2 linked regions of the Struthio camelus genome follow. Each later gene encodes a partner of the first gene's protein in a complex. Links are inferred from orthologs where the notes say so. Each region holds a gene or a part of one and is shown on either strand. Other genes may lie near its edges.

What was found.
Region 2: the proteins of CNNM2 (region 1) and PTP4A1 are in contact, whole or in part, in a crystal structure (PDB 5MMZ), measured with the Mus musculus proteins. The link is inferred for Struthio camelus from reciprocal best matches to the Homo sapiens genes CNNM2 and PTP4A1. Residues at the interface, in NP_291047.2 of Mus musculus: Phe526, Asp528, Val551, Asn553, Glu556, Gly557, Asp558, Pro559, Phe560, Tyr561; in NP_035330.1 of Mus musculus: Asp72, Gly73, Ala74, Gly107, Leu108, Gly109, Arg110, Arg137, Arg138, Gly139, Ala140, Phe141, Asn142, Lys144, Gln145.

The regions. Positions count from the first base shown.
Region 1 is NC_090948.1:15,441,141-15,451,436, forward strand, and holds the start of CNNM2 (metal transporter CNNM2), read right to left. Parts: upstream 4,581-10,296; coding exon 3,047-4,580; intron 1-3,046.
Region 2 is NC_090944.1:37,479,754-37,489,932, reverse strand, and holds the start of PTP4A1 (protein tyrosine phosphatase type IVA 1), read right to left. Parts: upstream 4,725-10,179; 5' UTR 4,485-4,724; intron 1-4,484. UniProt on the Homo sapiens protein: Protein tyrosine phosphatase which stimulates progression from G1 into S phase during mitosis. May play a role in the development and maintenance of differentiating epithelial tissues.

The DNA of each region.
Region 1 (10,296 bases):
TCCTCAGGAGTCATATTTATTCATATTTTAAGAGATTAGAGCAACAAGGGAGGGGGAATATGCTGCAGCGCATGCTCCAATTTCAAATTTCTTGCCTGGCAGCCTAGAAGTTAAACAGATTTTTATTGTCTAATTGTGGGCAAAGAACATTAATGAACAGCCTCACAAACAAATCGTCCAACTGTTCAGCCTAAACACCAGAAAGAGTACAGAACTACCAGTTTCATCTTCCACAACAGTCCAAGTACTTATATCTTACAATGCTTGGCTTTTAATCGCCTGCTTGTAAGTCTCAATTCTAAGTTTGGGCCAAGAATGTTTTGTTCCTGCCTAAAAAGTGAGCTTCAGACCCCCACCTCCAGCTAATTACTACACTTCTCAGAGAATAGGCCTCTTTCTTTAAGCCAATTAAACTGTTCAATTGACAGCAGCACTGTGACACTAGCTGCCCACTGCACTGAACAGCAGCGGTGGGGAGCCAGGTCGGGGAACACACACGCGCAGGGCTTGTCGAGCAAGTCTGCTGTGGTGGAAGACCAATGTGGTGGTAAGAGAATGGTTAGAAACAGTAAGTTTGTTTATTTTCAATACTGTACTAGAGAGCAACACACAATTCAAGTCTCCCCCTTAATTTATACATTCTCATGGGAATTTGGCAAGATGGCTCGAAAGAAGAAAGTTTGAAGACCTCTTGCAAAAGACACTGTGCTATGCCAGATCAAGCAAGCTATCGGTTATTTACATTCACTTCAACAGACACAAAGGAAGGCATTTATTTCCATCATATCTGTACTTTTAAAGAGAAACTAGTTAGTACAAAACTGGTCCTACCATTGGGGCTTGTCAATACAAGTCATCCAGCACAGCTATTCTGGAGTAATACGTAAGTATGACCAAACTATCCTGAATTAATTCACTACCACATAGACTATTCCAGAAAGAAAAGTGACCTCAGGAGGGAACACACACATGAGGAAGTTATCCTAGGCTTGTGCTAATGGGACGTTTCTTGTGCAAGCAAGGGAAATCCTCCAGCTACCGGGGAAAGTGATCTCCTGTTTGTACCTTCCAAGCGACCCAGAAGAAATTATGAAGCCCATTTTAAGCACAAGCTTCAAAAATTGTTAGAAGCAATATTTGACTCAGCCACACATGCAGGATTAAAATGAATACCTAGTTCTCCCTGCAATTAAATAAAAAGGACTCCTGTGTTAACACACAGGGCTGTGTTTCATCTCCTTCAGATAGGGGAAATAAAGCATCCAACAGTTTCCATTCCTTCAGACATATTGCTACAAACAAAACAAGAAAACTACAAACTTAGGTAGAGAGAAACTACCCAGACATGTTATCTTCTCGAGTCAGAAGAACGAGGAGGAGGCAGGGGCAGAGGGGAAAGAAAAATGCTATGCCCGCATACGTGGCAAAAATTACCTTAAGTAGCCAACAGTTAGAGTGACATTAACTTAGTTTCAGACCCGAGCCGCAGATTCTGTAGCATACAGACCATAGATTAGGCGCTGTCTCATCTCTCGTTCAATAGCTCTGAACCTGAATAAGAATTCCCCTTCTCTACCCAAAGGTAGAAAGGGTTAAAACAAAACACTTGCTGTTCTAGTCTAGTCAGTAAAAAGTAGGAGCATGTTTGCTTTTATCTGTGAAGATGAAATACAGATCATGAAACCAATGGAATAATCCCTTAAATCACAGAAATAGTGTTAAACCAAGAAGAAACAGACCAAATGCCATGCCGTCAGAGCTCAGCGTGTGGATCAAACAGTACACGGACATTCAAATGGCAGAGTTTATTACCTAGAAGGACCATAAGCGCAACTTACAAAGTTCTTCTGGAGATAACTTTTGCAGCTGATAAAAGGTTAACTCAAATATTCCTTATTAGCCTCGCTGTGGTGTCAACGCAGCTATAAAGATCTCCTTTTTCAGTCAGGTTATCTCCCAGGACTGAACTGTTCAGTAGTACTTTGATCAGAACTCCCAGGGTATGATCAACTCTATGGCGCTCACATTACCTTCAGTTTTCCAGTACAGCAGTCCAAAAATATCCTATCCATCTGAAGTTTCATTTGCTATTTCTTGGAGAGTGCTTTCCTGCCCAGGATAAACAGCCTGCGCTATTACTTGGCTTGAACGGAAGAATAGATTAAAAGAAAACTTGTCCTTTCTCACAAAGGCTTATAACAGGAACTAAGATGCACTTGTCAGGTCAGTATCTCCTACAATTAAGATGAGGTCGGAAAGCTTCAGTCCTGTTCTGATGCAACTAATACGCATGCTATGCCAGCGAGAGGTAAAAAGGATCATGTCTTCACGCAGCTCAGTCTCCGATTATCGGGGCAGAGGGAAGCCTAGGTGAAGAGGTCTGTAACACTGAAGCGTACCCCTAACAAGCATGTTCAAATATATTTTAAGGCTCATGCATGAAAAGCACCCTGAAACTACTTACAAGCTACAAGATCAAAACATCAATCAAAACAGTTGGAACACAAGCAGGGAATGGAAATCGCCCAGCTGAGCCTATGAATGGAGTTTAAAAGCCTTGTTTATCTCAGCACGTGTGTACACACTAAGCCTGAAAGATATGAGTGAGCTACATGAGCAGCCCACCCACTCCTTACTGTCAGGCCAGCTGAAAGAGCACAGAGAAGACACTGCCAAGTAACAAGCACAGATTCACACCAGCAGTTCCCACTGTACTGGGTGGATGGGGCAGGGGGGAAACTTGCTTGGCACTATGCCCACAGACCTCCCCCCCAAAAACAGTGGGAAAAAGAGGAAGGGGGCACATATCACCTAGCAGCCACACACCAGCTTTCTGAGGCAGGTAACTGGCAGATGTGACAGGTGCCTAAATAGAGGCCACTCTCTGTACCGAGTGCACCTTCCCAAACCCCTCTGGGAACAGCAAACGGAGAGGAGTACCTGGAGAGCCCTCTTATCCCCCAGGCCAGCTCATAGTACGAAGGTGGATGCTGATACCTACTGACCCCGACCTCCCCCCTACGCCCCTGTGACAGGCATGTCCCACCTTTCTTGAACTCCTCCAGCATGGCATCAAGCTTGGTGTCATTGAAGACAAAGTGCAGCGGATGGTTGTAGAATCGGGTGATGGTCTTGAGCGGAGTGCAGTCATCAGGGTCCACGAAAGCCAGGTCCTTAACAAAGAGCAGGTCCACAATGTTGGAGCGGTCACCCTCAAAAACAGGGATGCGGGTATAACCGCTCTCCATGATCTCAGACATAGTGTTGAAGTCGAGCACAGCCTCAGCAGCTATCATGAAGCAGTCTCGGAGTGGAGTCATCACATCCTCCACTGTCTTGGTGCGCAGCTCCAGAGCTCCTTGGATAATGTTGAGCTCCTCTTTGACTAGGTCATTATAAGGGTCGGTGACCCGCAGCATCTCCAACAACTTCTCACGGTTATAGACCGTGCCGATCTCCTGGCCCAGGACACAGTCCAGCAGCTTGCTGACTGGGTAGGAGGCCGGGAAGGTCATCATCATGAAAAACTTGGTGAGGAAGATGGTGTTGGCGCCCACGGCCAGGCCGTGCCGAGAGCAAATGGCCTGCGGCACGATCTCGCCGAAGATGACGATACCGATGGTGGAGACCACCACGGCCACCAGCCCGGAGCCGGCAATGTCGTCCAGCAGGATGGTAAGCGTGGTGTTGACCAGGACGTTGCCCAGCAAGAGGGAGCAGAGCAGGTAGTTGCCCTGGCGGCGCACGGGCTCGATGCGCTTGGCGTAGTTCTTCTCTTTGTCCGTGCCACAGTTTTGCACGATGCGCAGTTCCATGGGGTCCAGGGCCATGAGGCCCAGGTTGAGGCCGCTGAACATGCCCGAGAGGCAGAGCAGGAGCGAGATGAAGATCACCTGCAGCCAGAAGGGCAGCAGGAACTTCTTCTCCTCACCCACGATCATCTTGGTGTCCTCACCGTCGTGGTAGATCCAGGTGGTCTCACCCCAGGGCGGGGGTCCGGCCGGCCCCTCGGCTCCCGCCAGCCCGCCGGCGGCCCCGGGCCCCAGGGCGGCGGCGGCAGGGGCCGACACCGAGGTGCACAGGTAGTAGGACTTGCTCTTCTCCGTCTTGCGCAGGGGCTTGATCTCGATCTCGATGATGCCCGAGGTGCGGCGGTTGAGCACGATGTGCGGCAGGATGATGATGTCCGAGGTGCGGATGCCGCAGCGCTGCGGGGCGCCGCCGCCGCCCGGCCCCCCGCCGCCGCGCCCCGCCGCCGCCCCCGCCGCCGCCCGCCCGCCGCGCCGCCGCTCGTGCTCCGTGAAGGCGATGCGCGACCACGTCTCGTTGTTGATGTTCTGCCCGTAGACCCGCAGCTTCACCCGCGTCCGCTCGCTCACCCGCAGCGCGCCCCCCTCCATGAAGGAGACGTCGTCCGTGTCCTCCAGCCGCAGGCCGATGATCACCGTCTCCTCCTCCGCCGCCGAGGCGGCGGCGGAGGCCGGCGGCCGTTGGCCCAGGCAGGCGCCGAGCAGCAGCAGCAGCACCACCCGCGCCCCCCGGCCGCCCCCCGCCATGTTCCCACCGGGCAGCGCGGCCATCTTTAGTCAGGGCTCGGCGCCGCCGCGGCCCCGCATCGCCGCGCGGCGCCTGCGGCGTGCCCCGGCTCCTCCGGCGGCGGCGGTGGCGGGCGGGCAGGCGCGGCGGGCGAGGCGGCGGGCACGGCTAGCCCGCGGGACCCGACAGGCGGCGACTGCCGGGCCGGGCCGAGCCGAGCGCCGCCTCAAGCCCCTGCCCTCGCCGCCCCTCCCCCGCCCGCCTCGCGGAGGCGGGGCCGGCGGCGCGCGCCGCCAATCAGCGCCCGCGCGGCGCCGCGGGGGCGGGGCCAGGCGCTCAGCCCTCCGCCAATGCCGCGCCGGCCCCGCCCCGCCCGCCCCGGCTGCGTCCCCAACCCAGGGGGCGCGTGACTCCGGTGTGTACGCCAGGCGGGCGGGGGCGGGGCCAGCCGCGCGCCGCCGGCCAATAGCAGCGCGGCTGGCGGCCGGCGGGGCGGAGACTCAGAGGGGCGCGACCAATGAGGGAGAGGCGCTGCCGGCGAGCCGGGGCCGGCGCGTGCCGCGCTCGGCGGGGCGGCCCGGGGCGCTGCGCCGCCGCGGGCCGGGCCGGGCCGGGCCGGGCCGGGCCGGGGCTCCACCCGGGGGCCGCTGCCCCCGCCCAGGCCTCGCCGCCCCCCGCGCGCTGCCCGCATCCCGCCGCGGCCCGGTCGGCGGTGGCGCGGCGCCCCCTGGCGGCCCCGCCCGGCCCGGCGCTTCGGAAGCTCCTCTGTGGCGTTACCGAAAAGCGAGCCGCCCCGCCGGGCCCGCCCCCCCCCCCCCGCGCCTCCCGCCGTGGCGGCCCCGCCGGCCGGGCGCTCGCTCAGCCGCGTCGCCCGGTGCCAGCGGGGCCCGGGCTCGCCGCCGGTACCGCCGGCCGCCGCCAATGAGACCAAGCCAGAGGGCGGCAGGTACCAAACACGGCAGCGGCTCCCGCAGCCCGGGCAGGGAGGCTCAGCGCCTCCCCGTGCTCCCCGCGCACCTTAGTACCTGCATGTGCCAGGCGCTGATGGGCCCCAATTCAGGGGAGAGACCAGCGCCTTACGGGCAGCAAACGCGCCGCGTCCACGAGCCACCGACGGGACCCGGCCCGGACACGCAGCTCGGCAGCCCAGACTGGCAGCCGCGAGAAACCCGGGGCACCCCAGTTCGGTTTCACAGCGGCCCTTCTTCTTTTGGAGGAGGTGAAATAGCCTCCTCTCCGCGCCAGCGCTCGGGCAACTGAAGCACGAGGCGAGGAGAGGCTCGCCCAGGACAACGAGACGCGCCGGGGGGGCACGCGCCTCCGGCGGCCTCGACCGCGAGGTTTTCCTTGTCCCGGACTTTCCCAGCTGCCTCTTCCCCGGCGTCCCTTTCTCAGCACGTCCGGCCAAGGCAAAAATCAAAACACGGTATCATCAGGCATGCCCTGCCATCAGGGCATCCTGCCTGCCCATGGCCCGACGCCGGATGGCCCAGGCGCGTGCCGGGCGGCGGGGAGGGACACCGATCCTCGAGCGCTTCACGCTGGGAAGGGAAAGGAGTTTGGCTCATCTCTGCAGCCACAAAAACACGCTGGTCACCGAGGCCGCCTGGACCACCTTCCCCATGTGCGAGGCCACAGGAGGGCAGCAGGGAGAGGCTGGGAGGGGGCGGTAGTCCGGACAAATTGTTGGGGGGTTTCGTGCAGGATGGGGCTGCAGGATCACCTCTTTCATGACTTTTTCGTGGCTTGAGGGGGTCTAAACCCCACCAAGGGCAGGTCGTGCATGTGCAAGCAAAGCGAGGGTGACGAGACAGCCACACTTCTGCATCCAGGTGAGGACTTCTAAGGCTCAGAACTAAAGCCAAGAGCTAGGAAAAGTTCTCTCAGCTGCTTCTTCCCATTCCTCCCCAAAATGCTGAGAATTTGCAGAAAATAGTGCTATGCAAATACAGTGGCATTTAGCTGTGGCCTTTTTACATATGCATGTCAGAGAGGAGGTCTCGCTGCTGGACCGGCAGTGGGTGCCTCTTTCCTCAGGAAAGCTGAAAAGCTCCGGCAGGGACTCATGCCTTTTTAATGAAGGATTTTGCAGGTAGGAGCCCCCCCCCCCCGCCCCATCTGCTCTTTCATTCGTGCTGGGAAGACTCTCTTTGATAACAAGAGTTAATTGCCGCCAGCCTCCCAGGACGGGCTGTTTGGGGACTTTATGAAAGACTTTGTAAGTAATAGTGAAAGCGGGATATACCAGGGCAAATTAAACAATGCCTTGGCTGCATTAGCAGCACATAAATCAGTGTGTGTAGAATAGAACTAGCTAGTGTCTCATCCCAGAAAGTCCACGTCCCCCTAACCAGGAATGTCTTATGGTACTATATAGCTCTAAGTCCAAAACACCTTGGACATGTTTTGTAAACCAAATCGTCAGACTCATAGTCTCCTCCAAAACCCGAAGGATAGGTTGGCAAGGCGACTTTCCAGGAAACTATGTTTATGGACATTATTTATATGTTTAATCCCTAAATAGTGAATTAATCATTCCCCTATTTTGCTCATGGCGGAGGTCAGGTTAAGCAGTCTGGGGCACTTAGAAAATCCTTTTTAAATCTTGGAATTATTTTTACAATCCTCATATTTTGTAGTGGTCCAAGTTTTGTCAAGAGTTAATACGAGAGGCCCAGCGAGTGCTCCTTGTTGTGGTGTGGCTCCTGCCTGGGAGTCACATTTACCAGTGACCTAAAAGCTTCTTCTCTGGGTAGAAAAGGCCTTGGGATAGATGGCAAACTTTCTTTTCCATCTACATTATCCAAAATGATGGATTCTCCAACTTGGTTTCCAATACAGAACAAGAGCAGCTGCTGAACATTGCAGCCTGTTATGCCAGTGTCTGAATTGCCCATCCCTGTGCTGCAGTCGGTCTTTACCTGACCGCTTATGCTTTCCAATTCAGGTGTTCTGGAAATGCCTCCTTACCGCTGGGACCTGCCTCAGCCAAGCTACCTTAGAGCATCCTTGGCACTTGCCCGTGTTTCTTTTCGAACCTGAATCTTTTATTATTTGCTCTTTATCTTTTCCCATGCCATGATTCTCTATAAAGTGATTTTGTTTTACATTGTACTGCTTCTTTAGCATCTTCTTTGATAGCCTTTTTTGCCTGATGCAAAATTATGCATGTGTTGAACTCTGTGTTTTGAGGATACATCATAGCAAGACTTCAAACAATTCCCTTTGCTAACACAAATCCCTTTGTCTTTGCTAACACAGCCAAATTTCAGCTTTCGCTCTTGTTCAGTTGTGCAGACAGTGGCCTGCAGGTTGGGGAAGCAGGCCCCCATGAAGGTTTCAGTATACGTATCACTGATTGGCACCATAAGCTGTTTATGCAAAGCAAACGTAATCAGATCATGATCCCCAGTACCAGGCAACTGTTAATTTTTAGGTCAGCGATTAACTCCTTTTGTACAAGGAGGAGGCCACAGGGACCACGCCAAGCGAGCGTCGCGCCTTGGTGCCCTCAAGCGAGCATCGCGCCTTAGTGCTCAGGCCCCTTCACAGGGAGGTTGATGGGACAGGTTGGATGGCCACCGTGATGCTGTCTTCAGCTTTACTAGCTTCAGTATTTTAACCTGGAAGCACTTGTGAATGACCCATCTTTCAGAGGGTGCTGTGAAATGCTTCTTTATTATATAGCACCATGGGCTCCCCTGTCCCTTGTCATCGTAGAAGTTTTTATCATCATCTGTAAAAAAACTGCTAGCATAACTCTTTGTGCGCTTGCACAGTGTGATGGGGATGCGAGATGCTGTTTAAACGGCAAAGAGAGTGATTTCAGTCAAACCCAGAGCAGCACACGGAAAATCACTGAGTGAGGAAGGGTGGAGACGCCACTGCAGGGGGCTGGAGAGTGGGTTGGGGGAGCAGCTGCCTGGGATGGCGCAGCAAGACCTTGACTGTGGCAGGTGGATGGCATGGCCCCATCTGGCCCCACCGTCTGTGATTCGAAGGGGTCTCCAAATCCTTGTTTCTAATCTCAGCTGCTTACCCAAGGGCTCAGACAACCCTGGGGGTCGTGTTTACCTGCACTCTGTCAGCCTCAGAGCTGGTTTAGCTCTCCGGGGTTGGGAGATGCCCCCTCCTCCCCTTCTCCCTCACTGGACAGGGGCAAAAGGGCTTTGCCCGATCTTTCTCCTCAACCACTGCTCCTCACACAGTTTCTTCATGTAGGAACCCTGTCCTGAAAGCTACTTTGTGCCTGTGGCAGTCCAGGCGCCCCTCAGCGTGCCGTGCCCGCTGCTTGGCAGCTGGAGGCAAGGTGCTGAGCTGCACTGTGGCAGCAAGGCCGGTTGGCGGCCTGGCACCTCCTGCACCGACAGCTCCTGATGCTGCCCACTTTTCCCTTCCCACGCACCGAGCATCTCGCGAGCCTCCCATCGGGGCCGAGAGGAGCTCAGCCCATCTCCTCTGATCGCAGCCTTGATGCCTTCTACTCCTCAGCCTCTCTGGGACCTGGCCAGCCGGGACCTCCAGATTTCCCTGCAAAATCTGCTCAGGGCTTTTCCGCTAGATGGAGTCCGGGGGAAAATATAAACAGCAGCAGTGCTGCACAAGGAAAGGGAGAAAAATTCCCACCTCCTGGAGCAGGATTACCCTCTGGCTAAGAAGCTCAGCTTTAGAAAATGAAATCGAGACAGCGTTCATAGAAGGCATGTCGAGCTCAGCCAAAGCCTAGCTGCTGCAGGCACTAACTGGGGTGTCTCCTGCCCTGAGTGCAAATAAGGGTGACAGCCCTGTGGGCCTCATGCTCTGCCTTGAGTTTGCCATGGAAAAGCAGGCCTAGCTGAGCTCCCGAGAGGTGACTGGCCCTTTTCTCCAACAGCCACGGGGAGATGCTCATTTTCAGCTTTATATATGAGATGCTGATTACACCTCCTGTGCTGTGCAGGTGAGGACCGCTACACCTTGCGTAGGCTTTGCCCTGCAGATGCTCAGGGCTCCCTGCGTGTGGAGAGTGAGTTCAGAACAAGGAAGGGCAATGTGGCTGCTTAATGCTCTGACTTTTGCTTCTCAGAAAAATTTGCTTCTTGGCTGTGGGCTCCCAAAGACCTCAAGCTGCAGCTAGACCAGGCACAGTGGGTGCAGGCCACAGGGTAGTCCCTGTGCAGCTCCTTTCACATCTGCCTCTGCTAAGTTGCCTTCTGCAAATGTCTCTGCCCTGCTCCTTGGCCTTCATAAATGCACACAGCTGCTGCCAAACCCCTGTCCAGTCTGCCAGACCCTGAGCCACGCGATGAGGCCACTGCAAGTACCCCAGCAGCCATGGGCTGCTTCCACGCTGGCTGCAGCAAGCCACCGAGCAGAGCAGTCTTGCTGCAGGTTTGTGGCAGAGCCAGGCCCCCCTCCCCAGCCCCCAGGGCAGAGCCAAGCTCCGACTTGCCCCTTGCTGCTCCCTGGCAGATCTGCAGGCTTTGGTCGGTGCAGCCAGGCTTTCCGCAGCACCGTCAGCGGATGACAGCCGGGGACACAGCCCGGTGCTGCATGCATCATGACAGCGCCCATCCAGGCCCAGCCGCGCTCAGCTCAGCTCCAGCCCCACTCGCTGCCCTCCAGCCCTGGTGCCAGCACAGATTATTTGGGGCTCAGCTCAGATGATTGCTCCCCAGAGAGCCACGGGCAGGGCTGATGCACTGGCCCCTCCAACCTCCCCAGGGCCAGGGAAATGTCGCATCTGACAGCTGGACCTGCAACCGTCCCCGTCCCTCGTGC
Region 2 (10,179 bases), on another chromosome or scaffold:
GTTTTGCCTCAAGAGATGTTGCTTCAGGATTCTTTTTCCAGGAATCAAAAGGGAATTAAAGACAACAAGCTTATTAGGATGCTATTCAGGGTATATATGGTACAAGGTTTCATCAGTATCCAGCAGAAAGACCTGGAAGAGAAGACATCAACTACAGAAATACTGTTGTTGTAATCAAGACCAACTTGTGCTTAGGGAGAACTCAAATGACTTAAATAACTTTCAAGAGCCTTGAAAGTGCAATTTTGAAAGTACTGAATTGTTTCAGACACCAAATAGTTCACTAGGTGAGCTATCAAGAAAGCCAAGACTCAACAGTACAGGAAAGCTCAAGTCTGATTAAGTGGATTATTATATGCAACCCAAATGCATACTATTGCATGTAGAAGTTTCTTCAACAGAATATCACCAACTAATCGTTTGTACCATCAATTTGGGCAGTCCAAGAGATTTTTTTCCATTTCAAAGACAGTCTCCCTTGAAGAAAGCTAACACTGAAGGGTTTTGGAGAAACAAGCAGCAGCTTCTATTGGTAAAAGAAAGTCAACCAATATTTAAACTGTCAGACCCATCAAATTAAACTTGAAAAACAAAATTAAGGTTAATATGCCAAGAAAAAGCATGCTGTCCAATATGGGCCAAATTCATGTTAATTATGGTCGCTCCATTTACCATCATGTACGCTAGGAGAAGTTAGAGAATACTTCACTCGAGCAAGAGGAAGCCATCTTAAACTTTTTTTTTTTTTTTGCTCTTTTTTTAATTCATGCCATTCTCTCAGACAGGAATTTAAAGTATTTGTCCTCACTGACAAGTAGATTCAAACATGTTATTTCTGTGTTTGACACAGTCACTTGTATCTGGCAAAAGGCCACTTACCAAAAGAGATGTATTGCTGCCCAACATGCGGAAAGAAAAGAGGTGTAAGGTTATTACATGCTGTTGCTGTTTTGTTTCTAACGTCGTAGCATCTCAAAAAAGCATGAAAATGAAAGCGTTTGTTGACACAGTTACGTGACATTTCACTTCACCTTAGGAAGAAGGTCTGTGCGAGGTCTAATTGCCAAAATATTGACATCCAGAATCAACTATTTGGGCTCATCCTTAGTTACTGTAGTCATAGAATATAAAAGTAGAAAGCTACACTCATTTGTGAGCACTGCCAAATTGTAATGAAGTTAGAGTTCTTTGTTCTAACTTAATTTCTCCTACTATCCAAGTGACTTTCTCTCACTATCCAAAGCCTAATGGTAACTGCCAAGGCAGACAAGAAGGGGGAGGGTAAAGGGTACAAAATGTTGAGCCATTATTTATTACGGTTGAGCCCTACTGTGTAGGGGCACACCCTCATTAGATACCATTGAAAAGATTAATTTCCCACACATAAGATACGGGAATGTCTGTATGACAATATCAGCGGTGATAAAACTATGTATGTTTTAGGCCAGAGAAAGTGACCCGCAGCCTGAGGAAACATATATCACAAACAAGAGATTCTAAAGCCTACAACAAATTTGTTGTAGGCTAGTCTGTGAAGGAAGGATGTTCTTGTGGCTAAAGTATGCAGTTTAGGGGAAGAAGGGGAACGCATTATCACAAAACTTCCTGTATACTAACTGAATGCAGTTTCCACAGATGATGAAACTAAGGCCCTGTGGCCATCTCTCTAGTCCTCTTCCTCGCACCACGAAAAACCACGTGTGGACAAACAAACAAACGCTTAACAGACATCGGGGAAACAGGACATCACAGAAAGTATTCCCCTTGACTCATCTGAGGCATCCTCTTTTCAAAGTTTCTGAAAGCAAGGAGTCTCAAAATGACTTCACGTTGCTCTTAACTTCAACAGCGAGCTATATAATTCCCGTCACCTGACTCAAGACTTACTCCATTACACTTTAAGCAAGGACATAGAAAAATTAAGATATATATGCAGAGGCAGTCATTGCTGGTTTTTTATTAACTCTAATATAAAATGCTGACTGCCAAACAATGCACTGTGTTTGTGAAGAAAGATGTAAGGAGTTTTGGGTCCACCTTTAACACTTACTTGAAACAGAGTTTAATATACGTATTTTAAACAGAAGGTGACAATTTACTAGTAGTGCTGAATTCAGCAATAACCTGAACTCTCAAATCAAAGAACTTTTCAGGGTAAGTGGTCACTTTCAGCCAGCCTACACATTGGGATAGATCCAGAATTCTTACATGGCATATATTCAGTCAAAACAGGAAGGTTTCTGCAAGACAAAGGGAAGAATTTAGTCTTAGTACATGAGTTCCGTTAATTTACTGCCTTACTGACAAATTTAGCTTCACTAAGAGCAACAACAACCTTCTCTCCAGGCCTTTGCTGCATCAGCTATTCATTTTTCTTTTTCACTCTCACATTTCCTCCCATCTGCATGATTTCTGTACTGTCTCCTTGACATTTTTTTTGCAGAACAATTCTGTTCCTGTTCCTTTAAGACTTCATTTCAAAACCATTTTCCTTTCTATCAATGGAACAACAAGGGCTGACATTAAAGTGTCATCTTCAGGTTTTTACGTTTGACAGTCTAATGAGATTAAGAGGAGACGGGGTTCATACTTCTGAGTCACCGTTTTGGACTCTATGCAGATGCAGGTAGACATATTGGAAAGTTGTCTCCAGCAGCAGTAAGAAACAGAAGAATCACACAACGCCTATGCCACAAAGGCTGCATATTTTTTAAGCTTGTGATATCTGCAATATATTTAGCTGACTACCTGACAGCCACTGAGGCCTGTGCACAACTGTCACCAATCGAGCTTCTACCGTGACCATATGATAGTTACCTGATTTTGACAACTTCTTGTCTTTCTTGCTTCCCTACTTTTGGGAGTAGCTCCACCACCAATAAACATCATACTTCTTGTGTGCGCAAACTACATACTGTGTGCTAATATTAGAGAAGTTAGCCAATACAGACAGAGGGCAAGAACAAAGCAAAACACGTCAGAAAAGCAAAAATTTCTCATGTTAAACTATAATCCCTTTTCAGAAGAAAACGCTGCTCTTGAAATGACAGAAGACAAGGCCTTAAAAGCAGTTTCAGTCAGACTAAAATAGTCGGTTGGATTTATCAGCTTCTAAGGGTCAAAGGCAGACTCCTACAAAAAACATCCACTTTAACGTCTATTTAAACGACTCCCCTGCACAGTTTTCTTCCCACCAAAGAACCGTCTAAAAATCCAGTCTGAGGACAGACTACGTGCACTAGCACGGCCATGCCCGCCCCCCCCCCCAACTTCCCTGCACAAAGCTCATTCCGAAGAAGATTCGCGTAGTAAGTTACAGTTGCTTTTGATTCCCTGTGCGGATATATCGCAGACAAAGAAAGCCGTTTTGCCGTTTTCGCCCTCTCTTTGGTGGTGGTTTCCCACGTGCCTCGGCGGCGGCGGCGAGGGGGAGAAGAGGAGGAGGAGGGAGGGAGGCCGAGGCGAGCCCGCGCCACAGGCGCAGCCAGCGCCATGCCGCCAGTCGTGACTTCCCCGTGCCGCTCCCCCGCCCCTCCGCGATGATTCAGTCTCCGGCCCTCACGCTCCTTTGCGACGCCACCTGCCTGGCGGACGCCCACGGACAAGCCTCGGCTTGCCCCGCGCCCCAGCCGCTCGCCCCGCGCCACATGGCGCGGCCCGGCCGCCGAGCGCCACGTTACCGCGGGGCGCCGCACCGCGCCGCCCGCCTCCCCCGGGGACGCTGCTCTCACCCCGACGCGGCCCTCACCCTCACCCTCCCCGCCTGGGGCCCGGGCGCCGCCAGCGGCCGGGCCGGCGCCCCGGCTGCGGCGATCACGGGTTTGAATCACGCTTCGATCAGGCGCCTGACACGGAGCCATCTTGTCACTCGGAGCCGCCGCCCGGCCCCGGCTCCCCCCGACAGGGGGCTCCCGGCCCCCGCCGCCCGCCCCACCGCCGCCGCTGCCCTTGCTGAGGCGGCGGTTTGCGCCAGCGCGGCCCGAGAGCCGCCGCCAGACAGGCACCGACGGGCCGGCGGGGGGGGGGAACCAGGGCCGGCGGGCGGGGCCGGCGGCGGCCACGCTCACAAAGCGGCTTTGTGCGCGGCCCGGGCCGCTCGGCGGCGAGGGAGCCGCGGGGAGGTCACCCCCTCCTCCCGGCGAGCTAGTGCGAGTAGCAGGGGCGAGAAGGACACGCGAAAGGAGGCGAGGGAAGCCGAGGGCCGAGGCAGGGCGGGCGGAAGGTAGAGCCGCGCCGCCGCCGCGTTGGCCCCGCTGCCGTGCGGCCCGCCGGGGAGGAGCCGCAGCCCGGCGCAGCAAGAAGCCGCCCGGAGCCGGCGTGGCCCGGGCGACAGAACAAAGAGACAACATGGAGGAGACCGGGGTGGAGTGGGGGGGGGGGGGAAGAGAGGCGAGGGAACCGGAGCACGAGGGCAACCAGCGCGGCGCTCGCCGGCCGGAGGGGCCGCGCAGGGGGAGGCGGGGGCCCGCGGCGGCGGCACTCACAGGAATATGGTTACTCATTGAAGACTGTAGCCTGATCATACAGCCGGGGTGCGGGCGCCACCGCCGGGGGCAGGAGAAGCAGAACCAGGAGGATGTGGAGGCGCTGGAGGCCGCGGAGCTGCCGGAGGGGGTACGGCGGCGGCGCGAGGATGGACCATACAGCTGCAGCGGCGGCGGCGGCAGCGGACGGGCAGCTTCTGCGGGGCTGGCGCGGCGCTAACGCGGACGAGGCTGCACAAGGAGGGACCCTCGGCGCCGCCTCCTGCACAAGCGCCGCCGCACCCGCCCCTCGCTCACGCACCGCCGTGACGAGCGTCGAGCCCCGCCAATCAGAGGCGCCGAGAGAGCGTCCGGGGCGGGGCCGAGGCCGCTTCGGGGCGTGGTCTCAGCAGGCTGGGCGGGGGCGGGAGCGGGAGGGTGTCAAGAGGCGGAGGCAGCCGGCGAGAACCGGTTAGTGAATGAAGCGAGTGGCGGCGGGGCCGGGGGCTCTGCGAGGGAAGGGAGGGCGGGGCGTGGCGCGGCGCGGCGCGGCGCTGAGGGGGGGGGGCGGGGACGGTGTGGGCCGAGCAGACGGGGGGGTCGCGGGATCCGGCCAGAGGCCACCCGGCGCGGCAGCTCCGCCTCTCGCTGGCGGCCGCCGGCTGCCTCCGCGGGAAACGCCGCCGGCCCAGGCGCGGCCTCCGGCTCCCTTGGGGCAGGTTGTTCTAGACTCTTCCGCGCGCGCCCGGCGCTCAGTGGCCGGTCTGGCGCGTGCCGGGTGCGGCCGGCTCGTCCCGCCTCGGGCCCCGGCCCGGAGGGCAAGGGCGGGCCTGCCGGTGAGCGGGGCCGCGAGAAGGCGGCACGGGCAGCGCAGGGAGAGACTGTGCGAGAAGGTGTGGTGAGGGCGGGATTGCCTGAAAGCCCGCTTTCCTGTAACACTAGCGGAGGGGGTGGGGTTATTCCAGTCCTCGCACGTCAGCGTTAGGGTCCCAAGTTGACCGTTTGTGGAATACTCACAGATCTGCGTGTGTTTTAATCTCCGAGCTCCTTTATTCATGGAGGCCGAAATCTCTTCTGCAGCGTTAATGCTAATAGGAAGCTCTTGGCATTTTCTGCCTGCAGACCATTCTGTACTTTAAAATCATAATTTCTGTTTTAATAGATGGGAAATCTGCCCAGCAGGCCAGAAGTAGTGAAGGAAACAGAATAAGGACTTTCTCAGCCCTGTGGTCTCACTCCTAGAAAACAGTCTCTCAGGAGGCAGGCAGGCAGGCGTTACTGAAAGGCAGAGGTATAGATGAAATCTGACTAGGAAACCCTTAGAGCACCAGTCGTGTTCAACTGGTAGAGGAATGGGAGTCAATCCCCAGTTGAACACCGTGACCTGGGAGAAACCTTAATCTGGGTCAGCGCTATCTATAAAATGTTGCACTATTTTTAGCTTTGGTTAGTCTGATACCGTTCTAGTTTATTTAACTAGTTCTAGTTTATTTAGGCCTTTCTTCTGTTTAACATTGTTAGTATACAGATTATAAATCTCAGAGTCTGCAGAAGTTGTTTTTGATCGAAGAAAATGATTCAGTTGTAAGTCTCAGCAGTTTGTGTTGGCTTGTACGAGGGCATAGCTGGTTTGCGTTTTTGCCTAAATTTTCTCTCTTTTTTTTGTTTTTTGTATAACCTCCAGAAATCATGGTTCGTACAGAAGAGATTTTCTTGTTATCAAGTATGCAAGACGTGTCATTCAGAGTCTGTCTGTATTTGCTCCTGCAGGCACTTGTGTTTTCACTTCCCCTGGGTTCAGACTGGATTGGCATAGGCTAATTTCTGTCTGGGAGCCATGCTTCTACTAAGCTAAAATGCTGTTTGTCTCTTGGCTATAAATACACCTGAAGTGCTTTTGCATTTACTTACATTTGCATTTTGTATTTACTGGTGGACTGAGGGCACCCATCTGGTGAACTTGTAGCTACTTGCACTCCCCTGTGTAAAACTTCCTAAAAAATGTTCTTCAAAGTCCTATAAAATAATAAAATGATCCCAAAATTACTGGCTGCTTAAAGTATTGCTTATTTATTGGTGGGTGCAATGCTGGGAAGATTCCTGGAGAGAAAGTGGGCACAATTTATTAAACCGACTCTTTATCTGCATAGTCAAATGAATAGTTATGACAAGGAAACTAGTGAACTGGTGAAACAGAGTGGATTGAGAAGTCAGAAAGGAACAGAAAAAAAAAAGGGATGACTCCTGAAGGGCTTCAAAGATGAGGACAAGAAATTCCTGTAAAGAAAAACTGGTGCGGAGAATTCAGTAGAGACTGATACGATCAAGATGGGAGGCAAAGAAAGCAGTCAGTTGTTAAAGAAGATTAATATAACTTTTAATGTAAGAGGTCATAGGAGGACAAAGTTTGAATATTTTTTGGAAGCACTCGAGTCAAAAATAAAATCTGGACATAGCCTGAATTGTCAGTAGTTCCAAGTGTTGATCTAGTTGACTCTGCATGATCAATATTTTCTGAAAGTTGTATAAGAAGTTGTGTACTAAACCAGTCAGTCTACAGAATGCTGAAGTTGCAAAAATCAAAATGGTGATACTTTATGCCAGAATTACTTCCTTTTGCTTTATAAAAGCTGCTGCTTCATAATCTCTGATAATTTTATGTCATCTCGTTCTCAGAAATCCAATACTGATAAACATTCCAAATTCACTTTCTTTATATAACAGAGTATATACTCTATATACGTTGCAAGACACTTTTGTCAAGATGAGGAATCCTGATCTATAATTAATCTCTCTGTGTAAGGAAGCCAGTTCTTTCTTCTGATCATCTTTTCATCTTTGCCAACCTTGTCTGTACTTAAAAAAAAGAAAAAGAAAAGAAAAAAGAAAAAGTTATATTCCTATTTTTTTAAATAGGCCAGAAAAGAAATAGTTTCCAATGTGCAAATCACACAGTGTCCATGTATTAATTTGGAATGATTTGCATTACTTTACCTAGCACATGTGTTCTGGTTTGAGAATGCTGCTGCTATGGGATTTGTGAAAATTACATATTTCAAGCATTTTAAAGTTTATGTATCACCTAATATTACTCATAGACTAAGTAATATATTACTCCAAGACATAAGTAAAAATACTTATTTTTTAATGTGTTTGTCTTTTGCAGATAGTTACTTTTCTAGATAGAAAGCAATTGTCCTTGCGATTTCATATATCTTCATATCCTAACAGGAGGGGAAAAAAGGAAAATATGATTGCTTATTGGGAAGAGAAATCAGGAGCAATTGAAACTGCTTGTCCTTTCTTTGCATCAGTATTAGTTGCATATGGTTTAAAGTTTGCCTGAACTTTTACCTGAACTAATCCTAGGTTGAATTTGAATGAAATTGGAGGCATTTTGTATAGACATTGATGTGCCTATTACTAGGTTATCTGTATGAAATGAATTTATACACTTCAGGGTCTTTGACTTGCGGATATTAACTGTAACTTCTTCTGATGAAATTCCAGAAGACTGTATCTATGTTAATGTTACGCCAATGTTTAAAAGAGTTAAGTGGGTTGACTTTGAACTGGTTAGACTGGCATCTAATAGAAAACTGATATGTGACTAAGCTAATTACAATAAAAAAAGAATTAAAGGATAAGAACATAATTAATGCAAATCAATATAGTTCTAGGGAAAATAGCTACTGTTAAACAAAGCTGACTTAATGCTTTGATAAGATTACAAGAATGGTATAAACGTAACTGCGTAACTGTAACGCTTTTGTAAGTATTTTATTTGGTACCAAGTGACATTACGCTCCAGAAGAAATAGTGTTATGCTGTCAAAATAGCTCTAGAGCACGCATTCAGTGGGGGCAGAACTTTCTGACTGAACGATCTCAGAGTAATGTTGGTAAGTGATCCTTGCTGAACGACACTGTTCTGCAGGAATCAACATTCGTGCTTTCAGACATTTTTGTCAAAGGAGTATAATCAAAGATCACTGAAAATAAAATTTGTTACTGATACAAAGACTGATGGAATAGCAAGTAACAATAACAACGAAGTAGTTATACAGAGAAATCTAGCTTGTTTAATAACTTGTGTTTACTCAAAAATGTGTTTAAGTGCAGCCCCAAGCAGGAAATACAAAGCTAGAATTATAGGTTTTTAAAGAATGCTTCTGTTACTTTGAAGAAAGTCCAGGGATCGTAATGGACAAGTAAGTAAATATGCGCTCCCAGGACACTGGTATAACAGTAAAAATGCTAATGTGATCCTTAGGTATATAACTGGAAATAATGAGAAGGAGTAGAGAGATTTTATTTTTGAACAGCATTGATACCGAATATTGAAATAATATATGCAGTTCTGTTATCCATAGACCTCTTAGATTGCCTTATTTTCTGATATAAAAAACCAATGTGTGTGGAGCCTGTGTTGTGGCATTTTGCCATGTACCCTATTACCAGCCCCTTCCTTTACCCCTATCCCTACAACCCTTATCCATTTTTCTCCTCCCCCCTCAGCTTCGATTCAGTGGCATGGGCTCCCTCAGATTGCGTGTCCTGGATACCCGGCATTCAGGCTAATGGGGTGGAGAAGACTGCAGGAGAACGTGAGCAGAAGTCGGTTGTGTGTGTAGTACTTGTGTTTGAGATGTGACAGATCCACAGCCATCTTTTAAAAAGAGATTGGCTTATTGGTTAGAATGCAGAGTTGCGAAAAATATTTGAAGACTGGAGAAAACGCAGAAAATGGCCACGTTATGAGTTAGAGCCCTCTACTGCTTGTCTGTAGCACCTGAGGAACATTATTCTAGTGGAAGACTGATGGAACTGTGCTGTATCTTGCCCTCTTCTTTCCTCTCTTTGTGGAGGTAGTGTTGGCTCACGCTAATGCCTCAGATCTGCTAGCTTACTGCTAGAAGGGAGCACCTTTCTGTTGTGCAAATTTCTCTGCTGATGTATTACAGATATATTTGATGTATTTGTGTTTTTGAGTGGAATAAAGGCGTTGGAGCATGATGCAGAATTTAGCCTGTTGTAGAAAGTAAGCACGTTTTTTCCCTGTGTTACTTTAGCACGTGATCAAAACTGAAAGACTTTACAATTAATTCTTCATATTTGTTTGATTTCATTGTCTATACATGTTTATAAAAATTTTGTGAATTGATTGTCAGGATTTTTAGCATAGATCTCTTGGCTTATTAATGTCGATGGGCTCTTCATAGATAAAGTGATACATGCTAAAGGATTCCAGTGTAGGATCATGGTCTTTTCTACATCTTGTCCATATGCTTTAATGAGAATAAAGATAAGATAATAAGAGCTATTTTCCATTTTCAGCTCCTAAAACTGCTCTTACTATGAGAATGGAAGGCCATTTCAATTTCTTTGTGGAACTCGGGTAATATGCTTCATTTGTGATCTGGTTAGAGGGAGTGCAAAAGTACTATTGATACTTCATAAATACAAAGAAACATTCTGCAGCTCCTTTTCAACTATTTATTTGGAAAATTCATTGAACTTTCAGTCCTCGTGTAGCTTCTATTTATTCATTGAAATTACTGTCTCTGGAATTGAGTTTATGTTCAGCACGTGTTAAAACATTGGAGAGCTCCTAAAGAAGGACTTTTCGTGACTGAAGAAGTAATGCTATTTCACGGCATGATCTCCTAAAACCAGATGTGCATGCTGTACAGGAGTTGTCAACAGCCAATCAACAG